Anolis sagrei: one gene and its partners. The protein of the gene in region 1 interacts with the protein of each later gene in a biochemical or structural test. Links are inferred from orthologs where the notes say so. Each region holds a gene or a part of one and is shown in the gene's direction. Other genes may lie near its edges.

The links.
Region 2: the proteins of SP1 (region 1) and ESR1 form a complex in vitro, tested with the Homo sapiens proteins (6 studies listed by BioGRID and IntAct). The link is inferred for Anolis sagrei from reciprocal best matches to the Homo sapiens genes SP1 and ESR1.
Region 3: the proteins of SP1 (region 1) and KLF10 form a complex in vitro, tested with the Homo sapiens proteins (2 studies listed by BioGRID). The link is inferred for Anolis sagrei from reciprocal best matches to the Homo sapiens genes SP1 and KLF10.
Region 4: the proteins of SP1 (region 1) and CCNA2 form a complex in vitro, tested with the Homo sapiens proteins (2 studies listed by BioGRID). The link is inferred for Anolis sagrei from reciprocal best matches to the Homo sapiens genes SP1 and CCNA2.

The regions. Positions count from the first base shown.
Region 1 is NC_090022.1:190,698,076-190,705,359, reverse strand, and holds the start of SP1 (transcription factor Sp1), read left to right. Parts: upstream 1-4,263; 5' UTR 4,264-4,431; coding exon 4,432-4,438; intron 4,439-4,673; exon of another isoform or gene 4,674-4,778; intron 4,779-7,284. UniProt on the Homo sapiens protein: Transcription factor that can activate or repress transcription in response to physiological and pathological stimuli.
Region 2 is NC_090021.1:72,370,552-72,378,361, reverse strand, and holds the start of ESR1 (estrogen receptor), read left to right. Parts: upstream 1-4,802; 5' UTR 4,803-4,817; coding exon 4,818-4,878; intron 4,879-7,810.
Region 3 is NC_090024.1:30,001,671-30,009,349, forward strand, and holds the start of KLF10 (Krueppel-like factor 10), read left to right. Parts: upstream 1-4,669; 5' UTR 4,670-4,884; coding exon 4,885-4,920; intron 4,921-7,679.
Region 4 is NC_090025.1:36,496,801-36,504,365, reverse strand, and holds the start of CCNA2 (cyclin-A2), read left to right. Parts: upstream 1-4,561; 5' UTR 4,562-4,690; coding exon 4,691-4,861; intron 4,862-7,565. Other genes in the region: BBS7 (Bardet-Biedl syndrome 7 protein), read left to right, coding at 930-1,066. UniProt on the Homo sapiens protein: Cyclin which controls both the G1/S and the G2/M transition phases of the cell cycle. Functions through the formation of specific serine/threonine protein kinase holoenzyme complexes with the cyclin-dependent protein kinases CDK1 or CDK2.

The DNA.
Region 1 (7,284 bases):
ATTGGAGGGCCACAGGTTGAGGATGCCTGCATTCATCGGTGATCCCTCATGTCCGAGTATGATTGCCTTCCAAGTGTAGGGTTTTGGAGGTGGATCCACAGCTCATTGTAGAGGCTTATTCTTGACCTGCATGTTCTTCCACAGTGAGAACATCATTTTCCAGGTGGAATATGGTTCTGACTAGGGTTGTTATTATTATTATTATTATTATTATTATTATTAACTTTATTTGTACCCCGCGAGCATCTCCCGAAGGACTCGATGCGGCTTACACAGGCCGAAGCCACAAACACAATACAATAGAAAACATAACAAACAATAAACAAAGCAAATTAAAAAGCAAAAACAAATCAAATCAAAATTAGCAATACAACAGTAACTATACATCAGGACATATTAAAAACTGGTTCGGCCGGTGAGAGGTACAAGGTTAAAAGTGCTGAAATGGTAGGAGGGGCGTCGGGATTAAAGTACGGTGTGCAGCAATATTAACTGTGCTAAAGTGCTATTAGGACTTGGGATGGGGGTTCCTAATCCGGGAAGGCACAACGGAACAGCCAAGTTTTCAGGTTCCTTCTGAAAACTGCTAGTGTAGGGGCCTGTCGGAGATCTTTTGGGAGGGCGTTCCAGAGTCGGGGGGCCGCTACGGAGAAGGCCCTGTCCCGCGTCCCCACCAAACGCGCTTGCGACGTAGGCGGGATCACGAGCAGGGCCTCCCCAGATGATCGAAGCGAGCGTGTAGGTTCGTAGATGGAGATACGGTCACGCAGGTAGGGTGGTCCCAAACCGTTTAGGGCTTTATAGGTGAGCACCTGCACCTTGAATTGGGCTCGGAAGATGAAAGGCAGCCAGTGGAGCTCCTTGAACAGAGGGGTAGACCTCTCTTGATAATGAGCTCCAGTTAGCATTCTGGCTGCTGCACGTTGGACCAGCTGCAGTTTCCGAGCCGTCTTCAAGGGTAGCCCCACGTAGAGCGCATTGCAGTAGTCCATTCTAGAGGTGACCAAGGCATGGACCACCCCGGCCAGATCAGCCTTCACGAGGTATGGTCGCAGTTGGCGCACGAGTCTCAGTTGCGCAAAAGCCCTCCCGGATACCGCCGACACCTGAGCCTCAAGTGTAAGCGAAGAATCCAGGAGGACACCCAAACTGCGGACCTGAGGTTTCAGGGGGAGTGTAACCCCGTCCAACACAGGTAACCACCCTATACCCCGATCCGGCTTACGATCGACCAAGAGGACCTCTGTCTTATCGGGATTGATCTTCAGCTTGTTCTTCCTCATCCAGATCGACACAGCGGCCAGGCACTTGTCTAGCACCTGGGAAGCCTCCTTGGAGTTAGGTGGAAAGGAGTAGTAGAGTTGTGTGTCATCTGCGTAGAGATGGCACCCAACTCCAAAACCCCGGATGACCTCTCCCAGCGGTTTCATGTAGATGTTGAAGAGCATGGGAGACAGAATAGAGCCTTGCGGGACCCCACAGGTCAAAGGCCAGGGGTCCGAGCAGGCGTCACCCAGCTTCACCATCTGAGTTCGTCCCTCCAGGAAGGACTGGAGCCACGACAGAACCGTGCCCCCAAGGCCCATCCCAGAGAGACGACCCATGCCTTCCTTTTGACATGCCTTCCTTTTGACACATTTCTCCCTTTTGCCCTCCATTCGTGCCTCTTTGAATTTCATAGCACTGTTACTCACAGCTGACCTCCAGTTAGAGAAGGGCCAGGGCTTCCCAGTTCTCAGTGTCTATGCCACAGTTTTTAAGGTTTGCTTTAAGCCCATCTTTAAATCTCTTTTCCTGTCCACGAACCTTCCATTTTCTGTTCTTCAGTTGGGAGTATAGTAACTTTGGGAGATGGTGATCGTGTGTTCAGACAACATGGCCAGTCCAGTGGAGTTGATGGCAGCAGATTATTGCTTCAATGCTGGTGGTCTTTGCTTCTTCCAGCATGCTGACATTTGTCCACGTGTCTTCTGAAGAGATTTGCAGGATTTTTTTTGGAGGCAACACTGATGGAATCATTCCAGGAGTCGAGTATAATATTGGTAGACGTCTCATTTTGCAGGCATATAACAGGGTTGGGAGGACAATAGGTTTATAAACAAACACCTTGGTCTGCCTACGGATGTCCTGGTCCTCGAACACTCTCTGCTTCATTTGAGAAAGTGCTGCACTTGCAGAGCTAAGACGATGTTGTATTTTGGTGTCAATGTCTTTGGGCCCTTCACTGTAATACGCCTGAGTGGACCAATTCAAGGCATTCTGGACTTCAGTGTGACCTTGAGTGGGATCTTTGATCACATGCAATCTCCTAGTCAAAGAGATTTGACTAGGATCTCTTTGCTCCTAGTCAAAGCGATGTTCTCATCTTGTATTTGTCTTTAAAATCCCATGGAATGCTCTGAAAACAAACGAAGGAAAGCCTAATTATATCTTACTTACTCAGCCGATCCCTCGTAGTCCGAGGATGATGGTCTTCCAAGCTCGGTGTTCTGGGTCTGTAGGTGACTGTGGAGCCCTATTCTTGATCTGCATCTTCTCCCACAGTGAGGGCATTGGTTTCCAGGTGGGAGGTGGCCCCCGTTGGGGTTGGCTTGACGTGCCTTCCTCTTGGCACGTTTCTTTCTTTCCCCCTCCATTCGTGCCTCTTCAAATTCTACAGCACTGCTGGTCACAGCTGACCTCCAACTGGAGCACTCAAGAGCCAGGGCTTCCCAGTTCTCAGTGTCTATGCCAGAGTTTTTAAAGTTGGATTTGAGCCCGTCTTTAAATCTCTTTTCCTATCCTCCAACATTCTGTTTTCCGTTCTTGAGTTCGGAGTAGAACAACGGCTTTGGGAGACGGTGGTCGGGCATCCGGACAACGTGGCCGGTCCAGCTGAGTTGATGGCAGAGGACCATCGCTTCAGTGCTGGTGGTCTTTGCTTCTTCCAGCACGCTGTCCGCTTGTCTTCCTAAGAGATTTGCAGGATTTTTTGGAGGCCGTGCTGATGGAATAATTCCAGGAGTTGCATGTGACGTCTGTAGACTGTCCACGTTTCACAGGCGTATAGCAGGGTTGGGAGGACAATAGCTTTATAAACAAGCTAATTATATCTACCTCCCTCCATTTGCCGGCGTTAACTCTAGAAATAATGTAGTTTGATCCACTTCCACAGCTCAATGCTATGAAACCATAGGAGTTATAGTTTTACAAGGTCTTTCGCCTTCTGTGCCAAAGAGGGCTGAGTAGGCCTCAAATTACAATTCCCATGATTTCATAGGATCGAGACGTAGCCATTATTACGTGATGTCAAACTGCACTAATTCGACAAGGTATAGACAGGTCTCCGTATCCACAGACTCCACCATCCACTGCTTACAAATAATCCAGGATGTCACTCTCAAAAGCAAAAGCTGATTTGGCCCTTCTATACATGGGAGTCAATTTCACTACACTATTTATTTATCGTGTCAGGGGCAGACCAAACAGTTGCACCACTGTGTATATATTCACACACATATAGAAGGTCTTGAGCACCCACTGATTATGGTGTGGAGGGGGGGGGGCGTCGTGGCACACGAAGGAAGCCACCTCAGCGGCGCCTCTTACATTATGACCGGAAGTGAGCATTTCTCCAACGAGCCTCAAGGGAGGAAAAACGACCGACGTCAGTTCTGGTTGCATAATCCCTTCGTCAAATGGAGGAAGGGGGGTGGAGTAGGCCCGAGCTAAAATGGCGCCAACGCCCGTCACCCTGTTCCAATGGCCCAAATGAGCAGCCATTCCCATTGGATAATTCAAGGCCATCCTCGATCCTCATTGGAGCAGGCACTGTTTCCGCCTCCTCTCTCCTTGCTGCTCTCTGGCTGCTCAATCCTTCGCTCTGAAACGCTCGTGATGCCGATTGGCTAATCGTCCTGTCAGTCCCCGCCTTCCTCTCCATGACGGAAAGGCCTCGTCTCTTGATTGGACGCCAGGCAGTTGAGTCGGACGAGTTCGTGACAGGGCTACCCGACGCGGTCGCCGATTGGTCGGTTGCGACATCACTTCCCAGTTCCCAAACACTCTCCAAGCCCCGCCTCCCACACTTGGGTGGGGCTTCTTTCGAAAGGCGTTTCCCGAAAGGAGAGCTTTTGGTAAACTGCTCCCCCTTCCACCCCCCCTCCCCGCATTTTCCACACGCCTTCTTTTTTTTTTGTAATTCCGCGACTGGCTGTGCGAGGCGCCAGTCATCCCTAGCCACGCCCAGAGAGGCCTGTGATTGGAGGAGAGAGGCGGGAGGCGTGGCGCTTGGCCTTGGGGGCTGTGTGGGCACAGCTCCCTCCCCTCAGCAGGCCTTTGGCGGTCACCGGTGGGGGTTAGGCTTAGCCGCGTCCCACAAACTCCGCTGCCCCCGCCCAGGACACCCCTCCGGCGCCGCTTGGGCTCGCCTACTTCTTCGCCTCGGCCAACATGAGCGGTAAGGACGGGACTATTTGGGCCGGGCCGAGAGGGGGGCGCCGCCTGCGTGCTTCCCGCCGGCCTTCCCTCGCGCTCTGGCCCAGCCCCCCAGGGAGGGGAGGGGAGGGGAGGGGAGGGGAAGCGAAGCGAGGGGAGGGGACGGCATTGGCAGGGCCAACCTGTGGCGGGGAGGGGCCCCAGGAGGAGGAGGAAGAGGAGGAGGAGAAGGGGCTTCTTGGGAGGGGAGGAGGACGAGGAGGAGGCCGGAAGAGAGGGTTCCGGGTGGGAATGTCTCTCAGGAAAAGGAAGGCCGTCCCTACCTTCTCCTACTACTTCTGTGTAGTTAACCTTCGTTAGAGGTTAGTATTTCCGTGTTGCTGGCTTAACTACCCACCCACCCACCCAGGGGTTAAATGGAACCCCCCCCCCCCCGCTGCCGCCTTTCACCAGAGTGCCCCTGAGCACGTGCAGAGTGCGCCTTTTTTGTGGGCGCCAGGACTCGGATCCCCGCTTGGGAAGAAGTCACACTCTCTCAGCCTCAGAGGCAAGGCCTTCGGGGGGGGGGGTTAAAAAACACTACAGAGTAGGCCTCTATCTGAGTTTAAAACCGTCCTGGCGCCATTTTAAACCGCCGTTTCGTCTCCGTGCTGCGGATTCCTCCGAGGTGTCCCTTTGACAAGGCCTCAAAAGCCTTGCCTTGGCTGTTGGTTGGCGCCTCACCAAACTGCGAAACGGGCGGCTTAAAGTGGGTTTTTCTTCGTGTTAGGAGCGACTTGAGAAACTGCAAGTTGCTTCTGGTGTGAGAGAATTGGCCGTCTGCGAGGATGTTGCCCAAGGGACGCCTGGATGTTTGGATGTTTTACCATCCTTGTGGGAGGCTTCTCTCATGTCCCCGCATGGGGCGCTGGAGCTGACAGAGGGAGCTCATCCGCGCTCACCCCGGATTCGAACCTCCGACCTGTAGGTCTTCAGTCCTGGCGGCACAAGGGTTTGACCCAGGGGTCCGCAAAGTTTTTAAACAGAGTGCTAGTTTAACCCAGGGGTCTTCAAACTATGTAAACAGAGGGCCAGGTCACAATCCCTCAAACTGTTGGAGGGCCAGATTATAATTTGAAAAAATATGAATTCCTATGCACATTATACATATCTTATTTGTAGTGCAACAATGCTTAAAAACAATACAATAATTAAATGAAGAACAGTTTTAACAAATATAAATTTATTAGTATTTCAATAGGAAATGTGGACCTGCATTTGGCTGATGAGATAGGATTGTTGTTGTGTGCTTTCAAGGTTTCAGGTTGACCCTGAGCGAGGGCCAGGTAATTGACCTTGGAAGGCCGTATCTGGCCCTCGGGTCTTAGTTTGAGGACCCCTGGTTTAACCCATTGTGCCACTGCTTTACAGTTCCACAGTTTCGGCTCAGGGCCCTTCCACACAGCCCTATATCCCAGAATATCAAGGCAGAAAATCCCCCATTATCTGCTTTGAATTGGAATATATGGCAGTGTGGGTTCAGGTAACCCAGTTCAAAGCAGATATTGTTGGATTTTATGCTTTGATATTACAGGATAAAGGGCTGTGTGGAAGGGCCTCAACTGGAATGAGGGGCTGGGCTCAAAGTCCAGGCCTTGTGGGAGGGGAGTGGGCTTCTTCCCAATGCCTCGCTGAGGACAACTAGGGACTGGAAGGAAACTCAGATCCTAAAATGCAAGAGCCCACCAACCGTCCACTGTGTCCTTTTTAGGGACCTTCCAGGCAGGCCCCATATCCCAGTATCTGATCCCAGGTTTTCTGGTTTAAACTGGATTATATGAGTCCCCACGACCAGATAATCTGGGATAAACAGAAAACCTGGGGTCAGATCCTGCTATATAGGGCCTGTCTGGAAGGGCCCTTAGGCTTCTTCTGTCTGTAGGAATCAGATATATGTTGCCAGACAGTCTGAGGCCTCTTCCACATCTGAATAAAATCCCACATTTTCTGCTTTTAACTGAGATATATGGCAGTGTGAGCTCAGATAACCCAGTTCACAGCAGATATTGTGGGGTTTTCTGCCTTGATATTCTGGGTTATATGGCTGTGTGGAAGGGCCCTGAGGCTCCTTCCACACAGGTGAATAAAATCCAGCATTATGTGATTTGAACTGCAGTATTGTGTGGACCCATATAACCCTGTTCAAAACAGATATTGTGGGATTTTCTGCCTTGATATTCTGGGTCATATGACTATGTGGAAGGGCCCTTGGAAACGAAATGTGACATGCACTTGGGGGTTTTCCCAGGCCTCGCTTCCGCCCTTTGGCCTTATCTGTGTGTTTCCTCACACGCATAAAACAGAGCTATCCTTTCTCCTGGGGTGCATTTATGCTGTAGAATTAATGCAGTTTGATGCCACTTTAACTGCCATGGCTCAATGTCTAGGGGTTATTTGAACAAGACCTTGAACCTTCTTTGCCCAGATTACCTTCTATGCCTCACCAAACTACAAATCCCATGATTCAATAGCATTGTTCTCTGTCACTTAAAATGGTGTCAAACTGCATTATTTTTCTAGTGCAGCCTAACTTAGGGCCCTTCCAGACAGACCCTATATCCGAGGATCTGATCTCAGGTTTCTGCTTTAAACTGGATTATATGGTCCCTTCCACACAGCCCTATATCCCAGAATATCAAGGCAGAAAATCCCACATTATCTGAGCATGGACTCAGATAACTCAGTTTAAAGCAGATATTGCGATATTTTCTGCCTTGATATTCTGGGATATAGTCCTGTGTGGAAGGGACCTATCAGTCTGCAGTGCCAGATAATCTGGAGTAAACAGAATACCTGGGATCAGATCCTGGGATCTAGGGCCTCTCTGGA
Region 2 (7,810 bases), on another chromosome or scaffold:
AGTTGCTGGGATTTATAGTTAACCTACAATCAAAAAGCATTCTGAACTCCACTAATGATGGAATTGAACCAAATGTGGCACAAAGAACTCCCATGACCAACAGAAAATACTGGAAGGGTTTGGTGGGCACTGACCTTGAGTTTTGGTGTTGTAGTTCACCTACATCCAAAGGGTACAGTGGACTCAAACAATGATGGATCTGGACCAAACTTGACACAAATACCCAATATGCCCAAATGTGAACACCGGTGGAGTTTGGGGAAAATAGATCTTGCCATTTTGGAGTTGTAGTTGCTGGGATTTATAGTTCACCTACAATCAAATAGCATTCTGAACACCAATGAGAGAATGAAAGAAACACAGAACCCCCATGACAAACAGAAAATACTGTGTTGTGTGATGGTCTTTAGCGACCCCTCTGACTCCCCCCTCGCAACCCAGGGGTCCCGACCCCGAGGTTGATAAACACTGACCTAGACTCAGGCAGTTTGGGGTGTGTGTGTGGGGGGGGGGGGGGAGTAAGCAGGTCTGCTGTAGCTTAAGCTTTGACTGAAACCCCATTGCTCCCTGTTGGAGGAGAGCTTTTGAGTCCATCGCTGCTATCCCAGGGTACTTCAGCAGTGGGCCAGATGGTTGTGCTCATTGTCCAGCAGTGACATGCAGACCTCATGCAGGCTGCAATCCAATTGCTGTAACCAATGTAGTTGTAGCCATTTTTTTTTTGCCAGTCTGAACTGTGCTTATGTTGATGGGATAACTTTTTAACTACTTAATTGGAGAAAATTAGTAAATAAAAGATCAGTTTAGGTCAGACAATGCATACTGTCTGCATTACTGATTTATACAGTAATTTCCACACAGACATGGCAGTAAACTGAAAAACATCTGCCATCTGGATATTCAATTTCGACAAATGTATACTTCTCTAAAAAGGGTAAGGGTTGTTTACTACACCATGTATCTTTGCAAGAAGAGATTGGATTTTAAAATGTTTATGGATTTATTCCAACAGGATATTTAAATCAACTGTGTGAACATTTGCACTGAAAATTTAACCTTAATATTTTTCCAGACATTTGATGATTTTATGAGGCTGTCTAGATGCATTTTAAAGAACTTGCTTTATGGTTTGGGTCCAGGTTACCTACAGGACTCTCTAGTGGCATAGTGGGTTAAACCGCTGAGCTGCTGAACTTGCTGACCAAAAGGTTGGTGGTTCAAATCCGGGGAGCGGGGTGAGCTCCTGCTATTGTCCCAGCTTCTACCAACCTAGCAGTTCAAAAATATGCAAATGTGAGTAGATCAATAGGTTCCACTTTTGCAGAAAGGTAATGACGCTCCATGAAATCATGCTGGCCACATGACCTAGGAGGTGTCTATGGATAATACTGCCTCTTTGGCTTTGAAATGGAGATGAGCACCCCCCCTCCCCCAGAGTCAGACATGACTAGACTTAATGTCAAGGAGAAACATTCTCCAGTACAATCTGCCCCACATGCTTTGGTCCTCTGGTTGGGGGATGGGAGTGGCTACACCAACCAGCCAGAACTTGACTGGCCACTGTCACCCAGAGGACCTTTTCATTGGCTGCCCCAAGACTGTGGAACGACCTACTGGAAGAGCTCTGATAGCTAGATCAGCTGTTAAAATTTTAACACCATCTAAAAACCTGTATCTTTCAGAAAGCTGAAAACATCAATTTTAAAGTCATGTCCTGTTTTGCCTCTGTCTCTGTCCTGTGTGATTAATGTGCATTTTATACAAATGTTTTATCTACCTCTTTTATGGAACTGTATTATAATATGTGTGTTTGTAGAATTTTCATAGTATTCATATGTTTTTTACTGTGCTGTGACCTGCCTCAAGCCATGGGGAGGTGCGAGTAAGAAATAAAATTATTATTATTATTATTATTATTATTATTATTATTATTATTATCATCATCATTATGTGTGATCACTAATGGTCACACTGCATAGCTCTGTTCGGCAGGTGTGTGAGTGGGTGAGCTGCTGGCAACAGCCAAAGGAGACTCCGTAATTCTCACCCACTGTCGCATGTGGGTGATCAATGCCTATGAGGTCTCTCTCAGATGCCAAAGGAGATCCTGTAGGCCTCACTTGCCCATGCACACCAGTGGGCAACTCCTATGAGGTCTCCCTCAGCTGCCGGTAACCAAAGGAGGTCCTGTAAGTTCTGTTTGCCTATGTGTGCCAGCAGAGGAGGCCCATGGGGTCTTCTTCATATGCTAGCTCATAGGTGGGGAAAAGTGTGACTATTAAGTAGTGAACTATGATATTCTATAACAAGTCTTCATACAAATGTATTCTTGCAGATGTGTGCACTTGCCTGTTAACACTTGCCTGTTAAGATCCGCCGGCAGACTTGACTAGTGACCAGTTGGAACTTGCATTTTGTGTGTTCATTTGGGAAATGAAGTAATCATTACGACTTTAACTCTGTGTTACACAACAGATGACACGTGTATGACTGGTTTTTCAAAATTTTCCTCGATCTTTATGTTGCCTCTTCTGCCTTATTTTTTATTAAGTGCTTGCCCCCATTGCACCCAGGCTACTGCTGCTCTCACGGATCATTCCAGTGCCCCCAGGGGGCAATATTGCACTCTTTGGGAAGCACTGCTCAAGATCTTCAAGCATAACATGAGGAAGGTTACACTGAAGGAGATAGTGATTTCCAAGAATTCAAATCTGTGAATAATTTTTCTCAGATCTATGAATAATCAAATCCATAAAAGTCGAAACAGCAAATGTGGAAGGATGACTGTAATATGCTTACTATGGGCTTTACCACACAAGGCAGTAAACTGTAATTTGAACAGGGATTATTGAATCTTTGCCTGAGACTTACCACATTATGTCTCCATGTCTTATTATTCTACTGGTGAGAGACAATTTGGAAGGCATTTCTTTTTATAAATGCAGAAATCTTCATTAAGAAGTAATATTAGAATTAGAAAGCATATGAATATCTGCTTAAATTTATTTAGATTGGATGTAAGAAACCTGTACAGACAAACCTATGTCTGTTGTTTAGAGCTGCATTAATATACTGAATTAAAATCCAATACCTACTATGTGAACATGTATCAGGTAGTGCTAATATAATGTGAAAAAAGAAAAGAAGTGCAAGAATAAGTCATAAAACACATCTACACTACCACATTTATTTATTTATTTATTTACAACATTTCTACCTTGCCCTTCTCAACTCCCGAGGGGGGACTCAGAACAACTAACATTGGCAACAATTTGATGTCATAATATCACAATATACAATAATACAAAAACCATAAATACACAATAGATTAAAACAATAACATGAATTAAACAGTCATAGTAGCCATTTCTATTATTATAACCATCATCATATGGTCCAATTCAATGTCCAAAGTACCATTGTGCCTGCTAGCTAAAAGCCTTGTTCCATAACTACGATTTCAATTTTTTCCTAAAGGAGGGAGGACGCCAATCTAATCTTGCTGGGGAGTGAATTCCACAAGCGAGGGGTCACCACCGAGAAGGCCCTGTCCCTCGTCCCCACCAGATGCATTTGCGAGGCTGGTGGGACTGAGAGCAGGGCCTCCCCGGTGGATCTTAAACTACAAGGTGGAGCTTGGGAGGAACCAGTTTCACTCTGCAGTGATTAGATTGGATTAGTCTGGAACCGATTTGAGACCAGGAAAATGATTAAATTAAACACAGAACCTGGACTTAAACCACTCTGTGCCCCCCCCCCCTCCCAAATTCTCAGAGAGATGTGCATCCATCCTCTGGAGGCATACAGGGTGGAAAAAAAAAGGAACAGGCAGAGGCAAAGATAATCAGTTACCCCTCCCAGGGTACCGACTGGCCCAGGCATGGGCAAACTTGGGGCCTGCGGGTGGTTTGGACTTCAACTCCTGCCATTCCTAACAGCCTCAGGCTCTCCCCCTCAGCCGCTTAAGCGGAAAAGGCCTGAGGCTGTTAGGAATGGTAGGAGTTAAAGTCCAAATCACCTGCAAGGCCCAAGTTTGCCCATGGCTGGGTTAGCCCCATGCTGCCCAACCATGCCCTTGGGGTGCTTCTCGGCAGCCCCTGTTCTGGGATCTTTTTAATGTGTTTCAGTATGGTCGAGTGTCTACAGTTTGTGCTGCATTTTGTGGAGCTGGCATTTGCTGCAGTACCATTTTTTTTTTACTGAATTCAAACTTTCCTGCAATTTTCATTAATGTGCTGTATGCCCTTAAATACACACTGAAGTGTATTACTGGCATGCATTTAGTAGCTGCCTTGGTTTTTTAGTCATTTCAAAGCTACATTTTAGTGTCAGCAGAGATCGGGCATAATGTGATACTAAAGGGTAAGTTTTAAACTTTCACTTCAATGATAAATTGTGGTTAAAACATAATAGCTGTTATGTGAGAAATAGATATGGTTGTCAGTTGTTGACTTTGCAATACATCAGAATCATAACCAGGGAACACATGCTCTTGAGAAGTGAGTCATGCAGGCCATATAATTCTCCCTAATACATCAGCAACAATATTAGTATATAAATAGGGGAGGGGAATAAAATCTACATCTCAGAGTCAAGAGGAGAATGAAAAGTAAGGTCCTCTCGGGTTATCACTGAGAGATATCTTCCTTATTGGATGTCCCCATTTAAATGCAAGGAGACTGAACTCTGCTCTACATAATAGGCGTGCCAACACAGCTGGCATGACTTGTGTGTTTTAAAGTTCATGTCTTCCCTCTGCCTTCTCTTCCTTCGGTCTCACTCTGCCGAGGCTTTTCTATTTTCGTTTACAAGGTCACATGACCCTGTCAGCCAATTGCAGGACCACAGGAGCAATGGAAACTTCTTTCTGGGATAAAAGTAAGTCAAAATAGCTCAGCTCTTTTCCTGTTCTGCTCTTCAAATGCTCACCTTTTTATTGCTCTTTGCCATTTCAATGTGCTAAGCATAAACTCTGGTGCCCGGGGAAATAATTAAAAAGCTTTCTTTACAGCTGTCTTTTTCCCAAGGTCGCTTTTATTTGTGAAGTCCTTTAATATATTTTTTTTGCATAGTGTAAACGTGGCATAAAAAGAAAGAAGGGAAAAAGAGAGAAGGGCATTCATTTGAAATGCTATGAAATGTGTACAGAGGTGCCCACTGCAGGAATTTCCCTTCTGTATTTGCTCCGACAGCACGGCAGTTCCTATTTGCTGGAGATTTGTGTGCCACCCCCCTCCACAGCCCCCACTGTAACCAATCGGGGATCTAAAGAGGAAGTGATTACAGCAAGGATCACATGATCTCATTTTGACCAACTGCACATAAGGTTTCAATCTGAAGGCAGTTTTCTCTTATTCCTAAATAACTCTAGCCTTAAACCAGAGGATTAGCACCTTTCACTTAAAAGGACATTAAGTCACACTCTGCAAGTTGTAACAGGGGCTTGGGGAATGATAAAAAACTTCTGTAGTCATAAAACATTTTTACTATCAAAGAAAAATGTATTAACATTTTAATGCAGCATGATTTTGAATTTGAGGGCTAAAAAATTATTCATTTATTCATCTATACCTACTGCCTATTTGAGCATTCTCTTTTAGCTTTGGCTACATTTTTAAAATTGATATGGTAGAATTTTACTGCTCATATAATTTTGTGTAAATGTTTTGAGTTTGTTAAATATTATGTCTTCTTGAATATATTTTCTTTGTGCAATGTGGTGGTTTCCCCTTTCCCCAAATATATTATTAGTCTTAACATGCAATGACATATTTCCTCCACCCCAAATATGAGACACAAAACATGAACATTTTTATTGGACCAAGCTGACTGTTGGATAAGAAGAAAGTTTTTGAATTTATACAGAAAGTGCCTTAGTTTAAAAAAAGAGGGTAGCCACCTCTCAATGAAAAAAATAGGAAATGTGATTTTACACAATCTAAACCTGTAATAAGGTTAAACTGCTGAGATGCAGAACTTGCTGACCGAAAGGTCGGTGGTCCAAATCCAGGGAGTGAGGTGAGCTTCCGCTGTTAGCCCAAACTTCTGCCAACCTAGCAGTTCAAAAACATGCAAATGTTAGTAGATCAATAGGTAATGCTTTGGTGGGAAGGTAACAGCGCTCCATGCAGTCATGCTGGCCACATGACCTTGGAGGCATCTACGGACAATGCCGGCCCTTCGGCTTAGAAATGGAGATGAGCACCAACCCCCAGAGTCAGACACAACTAGACTTATTTATTATTTATTTATTTATTTCGAGGTTTTATATACCGACCCTCTCACCTTCAAAGAGGGATTCGGACCGGTTCACAACATGTGTTAACATACAAAAAATATACAATAACAACACAATGCCACTTCATTACACGGTTAAAATATCAGCACTATACACGTTAAAACATTATCATCACAGTTAAAAGAGCCAAATCGTCCGACACCATCACAATCCCATTCATCATCCTCCTTTCATGTGGGCAAAGAATTAAATCAGTTGTCAAATGCCGCGTTCCACAACCAGGTCTTTGTTAGTTTCCTGAACGTCATGAGGGAGGGGGCAGTTCTGATCTCTAATGGCAGGGAGTTCCAAAGTCGAGGGGCCACCATTGAGAAGGCCTTGTCCCTCATCCCCACCAGCCGTGCTTGTGCAGGCGGAGGGACTGAGAGCAGGGCCCCTCCAGACGATCTTAGTGGTCTTGATGGTTCGTAGGGGAGAATACATTCGGAGGAAACCTTTACCTTTACTTTACCTTAAACCTGTAATCATTTCAGATAGCTTATGTCTTCAGACTTCAGTATTAATCAATTGACATTTTAATTTATTAAATAATTTACTATGAAAAAGAATACATTAATAGTTGGTTTAGTTGGATATTCTAATGTATTAAATAGGGCTGTGGTTTAAACTAGATTTTTGTTATGTATGTGTGTTACAACACTATGGTGTGTGTGTGTGTTGTAGATGAATAGAAAAACATTCTTTTTTGAGAGGTGAAACAATGGTTTCAGACAGTGAGCAGATTAGCCATCTTGAGACCCAGTTTTATGTTATAATAACACACTGGAATGAAAGCTCTCTGTCCCACCCACAATTTAAAACATACAACCTTTTAAAATGAATTGTGATGATGTGTATCATGAACTTCTACACATTGCCCTGTTGCACAATTATGGTTTCTGTTGCATAGCAATCAAGTGCCCAGTGCTCAATGGGATCCATGATGTTGATTCCATTCCTCCAATGGTCTCAGAAACGTAGTTACGCTTTTGCTCCCCTCTTGAGAATACAAATGTGCAATGTTGCAGTTTTTATGTTGCTGCCAATTTATGGTGATATAAATACCTAATGGAACCTCACATTAAAATTAATGATTAAGCATACACTCATATGCCTGTCTGATGCCTTAAATATAGCATTTGAATGGAGTAGACTATATTTGGAATATGTACTATTTCACTGCTACCCTTCTTCTTGTTGTTATATGCTTTTAATTCAACTCTGATTTACAGTGCCCCTGCCTTAGTCTATTTTTTTTGCAATAACATTCTTCAAAGGAGATTTGCCATCGCTTCATCTAAAGTGAGAGAATGCGGTTTGCCCAAGGTTACCCAATGGATTTCTATAGCTTAGGTGGGTTTCAAATCCTGATTTCATAGTCCATTTAATCTTAGGTTGGTCAGGAAGTGCTCTTTATCAAATCTTTATTTATGCTTGGTAACCAGTATAGAATTCCATCTTATAATCATCTGTCCACATAACCACAGCATTTACATTAGGCTAGGATATAAATTAAAATGTAACACCATTTAA
Region 3 (7,679 bases), on another chromosome or scaffold:
CTGAATTAAGGTAAAGGTTTCCCCTTGACATTAAGTCTAGTCATGTCTGACTGGGGGGTGGTGCTCATCTTCCTATCTAAGCCAAAGATCCAGCGTTGTCCGTAGACACCTCCAAGGTCATGTGACCAGCATGACTGCATGGAGCGCTGTTATCTTCCTGCAGAAGCGGTACCTATTAATCTACTCACATTTCAATGTTTTCAAATTGCTAGGTTGGTAGAAGCTGGGGCTAATAGTGGGAGCTCATTCCGCTCCCTGGATTTGAGCTGCAACCCTTCGGTCAACAAGTTCAGCAGCTCAGCGGATTAAAATTCACTAAAGTTCATCTAGTAGGTTGAACACATTCCCCAATTTCTCAGGATATAAACTTTAGAATTCCATCGTAATTGAGAACTATTGGAGCCCCTGGTGGCACAGTGGGTTAAACCGCTGAGCTGATGAACTTGCTGACCAGTGAGCTCCCAATGGTAGCCCCAGCTTCTGCCGACCTAGCAGTTTGAAGACATGCAAATCTGAGTAGATTAATAGGTACCGCTTCTGCAGGAAGGCAACAGTGTCTATGGACAATGCTGGCTCTTTGGCTTAGATATGAAGATGAGCACCACCCCCCAGTCAGGCATGACTAGACTTAATGTCAAGGGGAAACCTTTACCCTAATTCAGAACTGCCCACTAATGTAATATATCTTTCAGGCTAATCCTGTGGCTTTCTGGAATATTGGCATAATATACTAAAAAAAGCCACAATACGATCAGAGTAATAAATGATCCCTGTTCAGACTTAATGATTTTGCATTTCCAATATATTATCATTTAGTGATTAGGTATAATTATCATATGGAGAGGATGTGTCTCATTAACTCTAGAAACACAAGAAAAATGTCTATTAAAACTAGGCACGAGTAAGCATTGACTCCTTATGCAGAAGGCAGTCTGTCAATAAAGAGCCCTTGCAACGAAGGTGTTGATCAAATGTGGGAAAGAAGGGGTAAGATTCTTATTTAGACTAACCTTATCTAGATGGCCTTGGATAAGCCAGATTCCCAGGTAAGAGACAGATTGGTACAAGGCCATCCAACAAGTTTTAGGCGGAGGTGGGAGTCTTAAAAAGTCACTCCTATTCAAATGTAACATTCCCATTTATTGGCTAGAGCACTTTACTAGGGGAATCCTTTGTTGGGAGGTACCTGAAGGCCAAATATTGTCACCCAGGAAGATGGGAGTATTGGCTGCTTGTTGCCTGGGGGAGTACTTTGGTGGGAGGTACCTGAAGGCCAAATATTGTTACTCAGGAAGATGGAGGCAGTTGTGCAGTATGGACAGGATGGACTTGAAGCTTCAAATGTCATACATGTTCAGCATAGGTTCATCTTGCATACCCATTTATTCAGACAGGGGACATACATGAGAGCAATATTGTGAGTGCAATTTGTGCCTAAATTGCAGCAAAATGATCACACCTTACATTGCTTCTGTATTTGAGGATCTTCAGTTTGTATAAATGCTGAAGTAGCAATGCTGACCATAATATTTACACTTAGGTGTGCACTTACTACTTCATCACACTAGAGAATGAATCCACATTAAATCCTGTTTCTGCCTCCTGCAGAATTCTGGAGGTTGTTGTTTAGGGAGGCTGTTGAAGGATCCTCCCTAAACTACAAATCCCAGAATTCTGAAGGAGTCAGAAACCAGATTTAAAGTGGATTCAGTCTCTAGTGTGTTGAGGTCCTTAATTCTTCAGTTATCACTGAGTTTAGGACTGCAGCTTACAATAAGGCATTGAGGCAAGAGTGATAGAAGGCACAAAAACACAGAAGGATGGAACAAATTTGAAAACTAGCATGTACTGGTTTGAGTGTTGGACTAGGGGTGCTTCCAGACAGCACCAAATCACTGATTTTCCATGCGGGGCAAAAAAAACCCCCGCATGTCCGCACAGAGACCTGTGCAGTATGGACTTAGCCTGGCTGCTTGTTACCCAGGGGAGTCCTTTGTTGGGAGGTGCCTGAAGGCCAAATATTGTCACTCAGGAAGATGGGGGAAGTCGTGCAGTATGGATTTAGGATGGCCTTGCAGCTCCAAAGCCTGGCTGCCTGTTGCCTAGGGGAGTCCCTTGTTGGGAGATACCTGAAGGCCAAATATTGTCACTCAGGAAGATGGAGTATGGACTGAGGATGGCCTTGCAGCTTCAAAGCCTGGCTGCTTGTTGCCTGGTAAAGTCCTTTATTGGGAGGTACCTGAAGGCCAAGTATTGTCACCCAGGAAGATGGAGTATTGGCTGCTTGTTGCCTGGTGGAGTCCTTTATTGGGAGGTACCTGAAGGCCAAGTATTGTCACTCAGGAAGATGGGGCAGCCATGCAGTATGGAATTAGGATGGCCTTGCAGCTTCAAAGCCTGGCTGCTTGTTGCCTGGGGGAGTCCTTTCTTGGGAGGTACCTGAAGGCCAAATATTGTCACTCGGGAAGATGGGGGCAGTCGTGCAGTATGGACTTAGGATGGCCTTGCAGCTCCAAAGCCTGGCTGCTTGTTGCCTGGGGGAGTCCTTTGTTGGGAGGTACCTGAAGGCCAAGTATTGACACTCAGGAAGATGGAGTATGGACTTAGGATGGCCTTGCAGCTTCAAAGCCTGGCTGCTTGTTGCCTGGGGGAGTCCTTTGTTGGGAGGTATCGGAAGGCCAAATATTGTCACTCAGGAAGATGGGGGAAGTCGTGCAGTATGGACTTAGGATGGCCTTGCAGCTTCAAAGCCTGGCTGCTTGTTGCTTGGGGGAATCTTTTGTCGGGAGGTACCTGAAGGCCAAATATTGTCACCTAGGAAGATGGAGTATAGACTTAGGATGGTCTTGCAACTTCAAAGCCTGGTTGCTTGTTGCCTGGGGGAATCATTTGTTGGGAGGTGCCTGAAGGCCAAGTATTGTCACTCAGGAAGATGGAGTATGGACTTAGGATGGCCTTTGTTGGGTGGTACCTGAAGGTCAAATATTGTCACTCAGGAGGATGGGGGCAGTCGTGCAGTATGGACTTAGAATGGCCTTGTAGCTTCAAAACCTGGTTGCTTGTTGCCTGGGGGAGTCCTTTGTCGGGAGGTACCTGAAGGCCAAATATTGACACTCAGGAAGATGGAGTATGGACTTAGGACGGCCTTGCAGCTTCAAAGCCTGGCTGCTTGTTGCCTGGGGGAGTCCTTTGTTGGGATGTACCTGAAGGCCAAGTATTGACACTCAGAAAGATGGAGTATGGACTGAGGATGGCCTTGCAGGTTCAAAGCCTGGCTGCTTGTTGCCTGGGGGAATCCTTTGTCGGGAGGTACCTGAAGGCCAAGTATTGTCACTCAGGAAGATTGAGTATGGACTGAGGTGGCCTTGCAGCTTCAAAGCCTGGCTGCTTGTTGCCTGGGGGATGCCTAGGATGGCCTTGCAGCTTCAAAGCCTGGCTGCTTGTTGCCTGGGGGAATCCTTTGTTGGGAGGTGCCTGAAGGCCAAATATTGTCACTCAGGAAGATGGGGGCAGTCGTGCAGAATGGACTGAGGACGGCCTTGCAGCTTCAAAGCCTGGCTGCTTGTTGCCTGGGGGAGTCCTTTGTTGGGATGTACCTGAAGGCCAAGTATTGACACTCAGAAAGATGGAGTATGGACTGAGGATGGCCTTGCAGGTTCAAAGCCTGGCTGCTTGTTGCCTGGGGGAATCCTTTGTCGGGAGGTACCTGAAGGCCAAGTATTGTCACTCAGGAAGATTGAGTATGGACTGAGGTGGCCTTGCAGCTTCAAAGCCTGGCTGCTTGTTGCCTGGGGGATGCCTAGGATGGCCTTGCAGCTTCAAAGCCTGGCTGCTTGTTGCCTGGGGGAATCCTTTGTTGGGAGGTGCCTGAAGGCCAAATATTGTCACTCAGGAAGATGGGGGCAGTCGTGCAGAATGGACTGAGGATGACCTTGCAGCTTCAAAGCCTGGCTGCTTGTTGCCTGGGGGAGTCCTTTGTCGGGAGGTACCTGAAGGCCAAATATTGACACTCAGGAAGATGGAGTATGGACTTAGGACGGCCTTGCAGCTTCAAAGCCTGGCTGCTTGTTGCCTGGGGGAGTCCTTTGTTGGGATGTACCTGAAGGCCAAGTATTGACACTCAGAAAGATGGAGTATGGACTGAGGATGGCCTTGCAGGTTCAAAGCCTGGCTGCTTGTTGCCTGGGGGAATCCTTTGTCGGGAGGTACCTGAAGGCCAAGTATTGTCACTCAGGAAGATTGAGTATGGACTGAGGTGGCCTTGCAGCTTCAAAGCCTGGCTGCTTGTTGCCTGGGGGATGCCTAGGATGGCCTTGCAGCTTCAAAGCCTGGCTGCTTGTTGCCTGGGGGAATCCTTTGTTGGGAGGTGCCTGAAGGCCAAATATTGTCACTCAGGAAGATGGGGGCAGTCGTGCAGAATGGACTGAGGATGACCTTGCAGCTTCAAAGCCTGGCTGCTTGTTGCCTGGGGGAGTCCTTTGTTGGGAGGTGCCTGACACTCAGGAAGATGGAGGCAAGGGAAAGATCCCAAACATGCCCCTCTCCATCACCTCTTTGCAGGAAGGAAGGAAGGGAGGCAGGAATGGAGGGGGTGGGAAGAGGCGCGCCTCCTGACTCAGCCTCCCGCGGGACTTTCCCCAAGGGCTGAGCGAGGCCGGAGGATGCGCACGCCGAGATGACTCCGTCTCCACGCTGCCGGGCACCCGCTGATCACGCGTGGGCCCCGCTCGCCCATTGGCCGGCTGGGCGCACACCTTTGCCGCCCATTGGCCGCCTCTCCGCCCGCCTCGGCCCGGGGACCCGCCACCTGAATGGGAGACAAAAAGAGGGAAAGCGAGGCGGCGCCCAGCACAGCTTGCCTAGAGCCGCCCCGCAGCAGGAGCCATGCTCAACTTCGGAGCCTCTCCTTTGCAGATCGCGGTGAGTAGGACCACCAACCCGGGATATGCCTTGGGAGGGGGAGACACGGACTGCAGCTAGGCAAAGGCAAGGGCTAGCTTGGGCTCTGCCTCCAGGTGTTCTGGACTCCCACTCCCACTATTGCGCACAGCCTCAGGACCCTTCGCTTAAGCGGCTGAGGGGGAAAAGGAAGGGTCCTGAGGCTGTGCGCAATGGTGGGAGTGGGAGTCCAAAACACCTAAGGATCAGCCCAAGTTAGCCCTTGCCTAGCTTAGAAGGAAAAGTAATGATTCTGAGTATGAGAGTCCTAGAAAAAAGCCTTCCTTGCATGCAAAATAAGTTTGCAATGAACATACATTAATAGAGACTGGACGCGACTATTATAAGGGGTATCGGTTGAGATTGGGCGAGGCGGGGGCGGGGCTTGGGAAGCAGTTGTTGTCCAGGAGGGGGCGTGGCCTAGTTCTCAGGAGGGGGCGTGGCCTAAAAAGCCGCGCGCGTTTGGGATTGAGAAGGGGGCGTGGCCCAAGGTGCGGAGGGAGTCTTGATTGGCGCTTAGAGGAGGGCGGGACCCAACAGCCCTGTCCAATCCCCTGTCTGCCATGCATGGGAACACAACCCAAGCACTCTCAACAGATGGCCATCCAGACTGTGTTTTTTCACACCCTCCCAAGACAACATCTTAATACACTATAATAATAATAATAATAATAATAATAATAATAATAATAATAATAAATCCAATCCGCTGTCTGCCCTTCATGGGAATACAGCCCAAGCACTCTCAACAGATGGCCATCCAGTCTGTGTTTTTTCTTCATAAAAAGGTAAAAGTAAAGGTAGTCCCCTGACATTAAGTCCAGTCATGTCTGACTCTGGGGTGTGGTGCTCATCTCCATTTGTAAGCCGAAGAGCCAGCATTGTCCGTAGACACCTCCAAGGTCATGTGGCCGGCATGACTGCATGGAGCACCGTTACCTTCTCGCCGGAGCGGTACCTATTGATCTACTCACATTTGCATGTTTTCGAACTGCTAGGTTGGCAGAAGCTAGGGCTGACAGCGGAAGCTCACACCGCTCCCTGGAATCGAACCTGCGACCTTTTGGTCAACAAGCTCAGCAGCTCAGTGCTTTAACCCACTGCGCCACCAGGGGCCCCACATCTTCATACACAATAATAATAATAATAAGTCCAATCCGCTGTCTGCCCTTCATGGGAATACAGCCCAAACACTCTCAGCAGATGGCCATCCAGACTGTCTTTTTTCAAAGCCAAAAGAAAATACATTACAAAGCATGCACAAAACCACATATATACACATATATGCAAATATATAAACACATATATACACACACAAAACATATACAGACTGGGTCACAGCAACATGTGGCAGGGGATGGCTAGTACTATATAATAATAATACTATATAATAATAATGGGAAGCCTCCCACAAGGATAATAAAACATCAAAAAGATCTGGGCGTCCCCTGGGCGACGTCCTTGCCGACAGCCACTTCTCTCACACCAGAAGCGACTTGAAGTTCCTCAAGTCGCTCCTGACAAGATATATATATATATATATATATATATATATATATCTCACACACACACACACACACACACAAAATACATATGTACAGACTGGGCCACAGCAGTGCATGGCAGGTGATGGCTAGTATTAAATATAATTATTACTGAACATATATAAAGATATAGAATCATAGAATGAAAGAGTTGGAAGAGACCTCATGGGCCATCCAGTCCAACCCCCTGCCAAGAAGCAGGAATAGTGCATTCAAATCACCCCTGACAGATGGCCATCCAGCCTCTGTTTAAAAGCTTCCAAAGAAGGAGCCTCCACCACACTCCGGGGCAGAGAGGCTGTGAGGAATGTGGGAGTCGGAGTCCAAAACACCTAAGGGAGAGCCCAAGTTAGCCGTTGCCTGGCTTAGAAGGAAAAGTAATGATTCCGAGTATGAGAGTCCTACAAAAAAGCCTTCCTTGCATGCAAAATAAGTTTGCAATGAAGACATTCAATGGAACATACATTTATAAAGATTGGACGCGTCTATTATAAGGGGCATCAGTTGGGGTTGGGCGAGGCAAGGGCGGGACTTGGGAAGCAGTTGTTGTTCCACTGCTGAACGGCTCTCACAGTCAGGAAGTTCTTCCTCATGTTCAGATGGAATCTCCTTTCTTGTAGTTTGAAGCCATTGATTCATGTCCTAGTCTCCAAGGAAGCAGAAAACAAGCTTGCTCCCTCCTCCCTGTGGCTTCCTCTCACATATTTATACATGGCTATCATATCTGGACTTAGTGTCAGGGGACTACCTTTACCTTTACCTTATCATATCTCCTCTCAACCTTCTCTTCTTCAGGCTAAACATGCCCAGCTCCTTAAGCCGCTCCTCATAGGGCTTGTTCTTCAGACTCTTGATCATTTTAGTCGCCCACCTCTGGACACATTCCAGCCTGTCAATATCTCTCTTGAATTGTTATTACATTATTGTATAATGTAATAATATAATATAATATATTGTATATACATATATTTATAATATAGTATTATGCAATATAATACTAATAATTATTATATATTATAATTATATATTTATATTACATGTAATACTATTAATAATATTACAATATAATGGTATAGTACAATATAGTAATATTTAATACTGATATTGTATTATGCTAATAACATAATATATTGTATGTATATATATATTTCTCTAGTGAGAGAAAAGCACCACACTAGAGAAAAAATTCCACTTAAA
Region 4 (7,565 bases), on another chromosome or scaffold:
GTGTATGTGATGTCTCTCAAACTGCAGTTGTACTGTCCATCATTTCAAACGAAAATCAGGATTGTGTACTTTGTTATGCACATACAGTTTGAGTTCATCAATGCAGAAGTCTAGCTTTACAAGTGGAGTGGAAGACTATGTAAATGTAGAGATGTGACCCTACAAAACTGTGTGACTTTAATTTTTGGTTTTACTGTTTAGATGTTTTTAACTTTTTGGTTTTTATGCATATGTGTTTTATTTGTGTGTCTGTTTATTTGGCATTAAATTGTTGCCTACATGTAAGCCTCTTTGAGTCCCCTTTGGGTGAGAAAGGCAGGGTATAAATACAGTAAATAATAAATAATACAGTATAGTGGGAAGCAGTAGATGTTGTGCTGCAGTGCCAGATTGGTAGCACTAAGGATGGTTTTGCACCAGGGAATGGCTTGTATAAGATGGTTTCTGACGTTTTCTTACGCAAGTCCATACATCAGCAGCTGTGCTAGTGCATTGTTTCAATAGGATTCCACCTTTAGCATCCAAGCTGTGTATCAGAGCTGATGGTGAATTGCAGCTGTTGTGGGGGACTCTGCATTTACTCAAGAACAAAAACTATGTATCTGGTACTAATTGAAACTAAAATAATAGTGTGAATGTTGATCCATGCTAATGCAAGGCCTCATTGCTGAACATATGGTGCAGAATATTTTCCACTGAAATGTATGACAAACTTACCATTGAGTTTAGTGGTTAGAAAAGATGCTGAGTCTTACTAGACATTTTGCTACATGCTGCATGTGATGCAAAATGATTCCAGTGATAGCTCTTCAATGTAAAATACTTGACTTTTCACCCTTAATTTTGTATATGAAGTACTTCTCTTATTTTTGTTTTTTTTTTATCAGTCTTCTGAAAATAATACTAATTTCCTTTTCTTTTATTTTCAGGTATGATTACAGATCTGTTCATAGATAAATTTAAATTTAAAGGCACTAATGTGAAAACCAAAGTTCCTCTTCTGCTGGAAATTTTGGGAAGCTATGATCAAAACACATTGCTTGCCTTTTTTGATAGTGCTTCATGAACTGGAAGTATAGAAACCAATATGAAATCTCTAAAGTGAATGTAGAGGATGCAGATCAGCAAATCCAGATCTTTGTTTACATCATTTTAAATATAATAATAATTGTTAGTGAATAAAACTTACATTTATTATGTATATATATATATATTTAGAAATGGTATTTACCAAGAACATTCCATACATAATATATGGGAAATGTGACTTAATAACAATTGGTAGGACTGGCATATATACTCTAAATACATTTTACACAACCTTAATTTTAAAAGGACATGTAAAATGTTTTCAGTTCACTAGCTTTTAAAGAGTCTGATTGTGGATTCTGATTGAGCCTAGTAAAAATTAAGGGTTTTGAATCTGTAACTACATGCATTTTGTGCAAAAGACAAAGACCCGTTCTAAACTGTTATATAAAATCCAGGGTATCAAAGCAAATAATCCACATTATCTGCTTTGAACTGGATTATATGAGTTTACACTGCCATATAATCCAGTTCAAAGTAGGTAATCAGGGTATTATTATTATTATTATTATTATTATTATTATTATTTATTAATATCACACACAACAAACATTTACAGAAAACATACAGTAAACCAGTTAAACAATTAATCAAATATTTTATACATGTAATCTCTACAAGCACCCACATGCATGGGACATATATTCATCCTTAATATTAATGATTCTTATATTGACCTCTTCTCCAAAATGCTAGTGTATGTTGATTTAGTTTTATTCCTTTTTCTTTGACAAATATACATTCATATCTATAAATATATATTATCTGGGGGTTTTATGGTGGTGTAGAAGGGGCCTCATATGATCCAGTTCAAAGCAAATAATGTGGATTATCTACTATGATAATCTGGATAATCTGGCAGTGTAGAAGGGGCCAAAGTAGTATTTTGCTTGCCAGCTACAAAGAAAATTCTGAGATTGGTGTAACAGATTGCATGTATCATTCTTCCCAGTATAGATTAGGTTGGAAATGCAGTTCTGATAATCACACATTCCATATCAACACTATTAGGTCCCTTCTACACTGCCATAAAATCCAGATTATCAAAGCAGATAATCCACATTATCTGCTTGAACTGGATTGTATGAGTCTACACTGCCATATAATCCAGTTCAAAACAGATAATCTGGATTTTATTTGACAGTATAGATGAGGCCTTTGTTCTTGCTATTTATGCACTGGCATGGCAACGGTGCCCTGCATTAGCCAGTCACTAAAGAAAATTGCTCTTGATAATGTAATTCCCAGTCTGTATATAGAACTTTGTCGGCTATAGACTATTACATGTGTAAATAGGATAAAAGTTATTTATTGGAAATATAACTCTGTGCTAGGTCGGAATCAATTTGATAAATAAATTTTTTCAACTATAGCATGAACTTTTGTGGCCTTTTGTGTGTGATGAATATCAGATCTTTATGCCTTTGAAGAGAAAGCAAGATGGAAGATACAAGGTCCATCAGAGCTCAAAGTATAGCAAGGAGACAGGAAAAGGACCGTACCTTTGTCGCATGAAGATATATAAGGCTCTATCTACACTGCAGCATTTATGCAGTTTGACAGCACTTTACCTGCCATGGCTCAATGTTTTTTTCTTTATGTAAATAAAGCTTTTAATTTCTGTTGGTAGTATTGAAATCAGTGTTCCTTTTACAACTGATGGTGTCTTAAAATAGAAGAAATGTGGTACGTATGACCATATATATGTGTGTAATAAATAAAATATCATAAAGAAAACATAATAAATAAATACAGGATGGGCCCAAAAGTCACAATATTTAAGAAGTTTATTTTTTGTTCTTAATTTACAATTAGTAATTTTTTATTGTATTGACTTAATATTTTTAATTATATATAATTATTGGTTTTGTTATGTATTTTATTATGTGTACATTGAGGCATCAAATTGTTGCTTGCTGGAAGCCGCCCTGAGTCCCCCTTCAGGGGGTTGAAAAGGGTGGGGTACAAATATTCTAAATACATACATACATACACACAAATATGTATATAGTCAAGCACACACATATACACAATATGCATGTACACATAAAAACAAATACACAAATATATATACACACATATACAACCCCCTATATATATATATGTATATGTATATATATATATATATATATATATATATATAAGGAAAACTGTTAGCAATATGCCCTCAAAATGCACTTTACCATTGATTTAGGATCGACTGCGTTTCCTCATCTCTCTTTGAAAAACCCTATTTCTGTTATATCCTACCTTGTTCATACCCAGCATTATTTTTTAAATTTTAAATTAATACATTTGGCCCGGCCATAGGTTTTTAAATGCTTGTGAGTTACTGTTATTGTTTTTTTGTTTTTGTTTATGTGATTTATATTAACTGTTTTGTATTTATTGTTTTTGTTATTGCCTTTGTTTACTGATGTACTGTGGGCTTGGCCTCATGTAAGCCGCAATGAGTCCCTTGGGGAGATGGTAGCGGGGTATAAATAAAGTATTATTATTATATTTTATTTATTTATTTATTTAGCAATTTTGTATACCGGTCTTCTCCCCTCTATCGGGGGACTCGGGCCAGTTTCCAACAATAATATCACAAAACAATCATTAAAAACGTCATATAACATATTCAATTAAAATGTTAAAACGGCAAAATGCAATCACATAATAACAATGGTCAGTCGTCATAGTGAATTCGTTGTCCGTCATTCATCGTCATCCATCCGATCACAGAAATATTGATTCACTCGTCGAAAGCCAAACCCCATAGCCAGGTTTTCACCTGTTTTCTGAACGACAGAATGGGGGGGGGGGGGCAGTTCTGATCTCCAGTGGGAGAGTTCCAGAGTCGAGGGGCCACCACCGAGAACGCCCTGTCCCTCATCCCCACCAGGTGGGTGTGGGACTGAGAGCAGGGCCCCTCCAGATGATCTTAACAACCTAGATGGTTCATAGGGGAGAACGGAATTCGGACAGGTAAACTGGGTCGGAGTCGTTTAGGGCTTTATAGGTTAACACCAGCACTTTGAATTGTGCTCGGAAGCTAATTGGCAGCCAGTGGAGCCAATTATTATATACACATAAAACATATACACAGGCTGGGCTACAGCAAAGTGTGGCAGGAGACAGCTAGTATATAATAAATGTAATGTCATGATATAAAATAGTAACTTATAAAAATAATAGTAATAATATATATCCATAGCACCTACATAAACAAAAAAGAGAAATAATTCACAGCAAGTATTCTAGTGTGAGGAATCAATAAGGAACCTCCCTGGAGGTTTCCTGTCTTTCCGAGGAAGGTAATGACAGAAACCCCGCTCGCCACCTGTCTTCAGCCTAAGTGACTGCTTATTTATAGCCACGTGACCGCCCCCTTCCCCGCCAGCCAATCCCCTCCTCCCGCTAATTCCTTTCAAACCGACTTCTCGACCCTCGCGGGCTCCCGTAAGCAGTGACGTCAGGGCGTTCTCCCTCCCTATTGGCCGATTCAATCCTCGCGGGCTACTTGAACGGTGGAAGTGCAAGAGCCACGGACGCCGAGCCTTTCCATTGAGCTTGTGCCGCCGCCGGAGCAGGAGCCTCCTCTCTATCCCATCATATCATGCTGACGGACGCCACCGCTGCTGCCGCCTCGGAGCTGGAGAACCAGGAGAACATTCCCCCGGCGGTGAAGGATGGTGGCGCCTCGGCCAAGCTCCCGGGAGGGCAAGGGCAGCGGCTGGCGTTGGGGCTGCTGCAGGCCAACCAGCGCTGCTCCTCGGACCCGGTCCAGGTAGAGGCGCCTAGGGAAGGAAGGGGAGCAGGGACGCTTGGGCCTGCTCGGCCGCCATTTTGGGCTCGTGCAGGATGCTCCCAGAGCCATAGGAGTTGTAGTTCCGCCTCCTCTGGCTAAGAGGGCCTCTTGAGGCCTGGTGCCCAGTTCAGGCCTTTTTTGGGCTTTGGGACCCCTTCAGGTACAGCTAAACCAGGCCTGGGGAAATTTGGGCCTCCAGGTGCTTTGGACTTCAACTCCCAGCATTCCTAACAGCCTCAGGCCCCTTCCTTTTCCCCCTCAGCCGCTTAAGCTGAGGGGCCTGAGGCTGTTAGGAATGCTGGGAGTTGAAGTCCAAAGCACCTGGAGGGCCCAAATTTCCCCAAGCCTAGTCAACACTAGAATTAATGCAGTTTGGTATCGCTTCAACTGTTCATAGCAGAAGACTACTAAAGACCTTGGCGGAACTACACCTCCCCTGATCCCATGCATTCCTTCCTTTGGCGGGATGTAAAGGGACAGCTTGGCGCGCTTTCCACGCCTCAGCGGCCTGGCTCCTCTACAAAAATCTGCATTTCAGATCAGGTCTCTTCTCCCCACTGCCGGCCCCATTCCTTCCTCAAGGTCTGTAGTCTTCCTTCCTTCCCCTGTTGAACCTTCACAACCACCTGGTCTCAGCTAAATAGTCTCAGCTGAGCCTCCACGCTGCATTATATAGCAGTGTCCATCCAGCCTCGCTACCTGTGGGTCCCCAGGTGTTTTGGCCTACAATTCCCAGAAAACCCAGGCAATTTACCAGCTGTTGGGATTTTTGGGAGTTGAAAGCCAAAACATCTGGGGACCCACAGGTTGAGAACCACTAGTCTAGGACTATGTGACATATCAGCAAATAATGCATGGGATTTCTGAGTAGGCAGGACTTCTGCAGCTGTTGGATGGTAATTTTGGCAGCACTGATTGTTTTTAAGTGTAGGCCAAGGTCTTTAGGCACTGCACCCAGTGTGCTGATCCCCACTGGGACCTCCTTGACTGGTTTGTGCCAGAGTCTTTGCAGTTCAATCTTTAAATCGCTTTTCGAGTTGCTAATAATAAATTATTATTATTATTAGTAGTAGTAGTAGTAGTAGTAGTAGTATTAGTCTATATAAATAAAAATGTAATGTTCATTTCTGGGATTAACATGACTCAAAAACCACCGGACGAATTGACACAAAATTTGGACACAATACACCTAACAGTCCAATGAGTGTCCATTACCCCTAAACACGCACACACGCAAAAAACTCCAGCGGAACAGACTTAAAAACCCCCAAAATACACCATATATACACACACTCAAATACATGCACAGATTCATACACACGTGTGTGTGTGTATATATATATATGTACAAATATACATATATACACACACATATACACATGCACACAAATATACATATATACACCTGGTGCCTAAATGGTCTCAACTCAGCTGAGCCTCCACACTGCATTATATAGCAGTGTCTATCCAGCCTCGCTACCTGTGAGTCCCCAGGTGTTTTGGCCTACAATTCCCAGAAAACTCAGGCAATTTACCAGCTGTTAAGATTTTTGGGTGTTGAAGGCCAAAACATTTGGAGACCCACAGGTTGAGAACCACTGGGTTGGTTGAATACTTTAGGTCAGCGTTTCTCAACCTAGGGGTCACCAAAGACCATTGGAAAACACAGTATTTTCTGTTGGTCGTGGGGGTTCCGTGTCAGAAGTTTGACCCAATTCTATCATCGGTGAGGTTCAGAATCCTAACAGTAGCAACATTACAGTTATGAAGTAGGAACAAAAATAATGTTATGGTTGGGGGTCACTAGAACATCAGGAACTGCATTAAGGGGCCGCGGAATTGGGGAGGTTGAGAAACACTGCTTTAGATTTTCCTTCTGCTCTTGGATATCCAGCTGGAGTTGGAAGAGACCCCCCCCCCCCAGTCCAACCACATTGCAGGAAAATACAACAAAACCAAAGCCCTCCAAACAGATGGCCATCCAGCTCCCCCTCTGCAAAAGGAGACTCCCCCACACTCCCAGGCAGCCTAGCCCACCATTAAACAGCTTTTGTCATCAGGAACTCTTCCTTAATGTTTAGGTGGGATATTTTTCCCTGCAATTTGAATCCATTGCTCTGTGTCTCCAGAGCAGCAGAAAACAAGCATTGGACCCTCTTCAATGTGATCTCCTTTCTGTTACACTATGTAACACAAGTTTTGTTCCTGGATTATAAATGCCATTTCCTAATTGGTTCTATCTAGGAGCCAAGGTGAAACAATGGATTTAACTCAGGCCTGGGCAATCTTGAGCCCTCCAGGTGTTTTGGACTTCAACTCCCACAATTCCTAATAGCTTGAGGAAAGGAAGGGGCCTGAAGCAGTTAGGAATTGTGGGAGTTAGAAGTCCAAAACAACTGGAGGGCTGAAGTATGCCCATGCCTGGGTTAAACCCTTGTTCTGGCTGAACTACTGACCTGAAGGTCTGTGTTTTGAATCCTTGAGGTGAGCTCCTGTCTGTCAGCTCCAGCTTCCCATACAGGGATTTTAGAGAATCCTCCCACAGGATGGTAACACATCTGGGCAACATTCCTGCAGATGGCCAATTCTCTCACACGATGAAAAAAATGATTCTATCACAAAAACATGGTGAAAGTTTGTTTCCGTGGGACATTTTGCCGCACATTTTGCTATATTTTTTCAG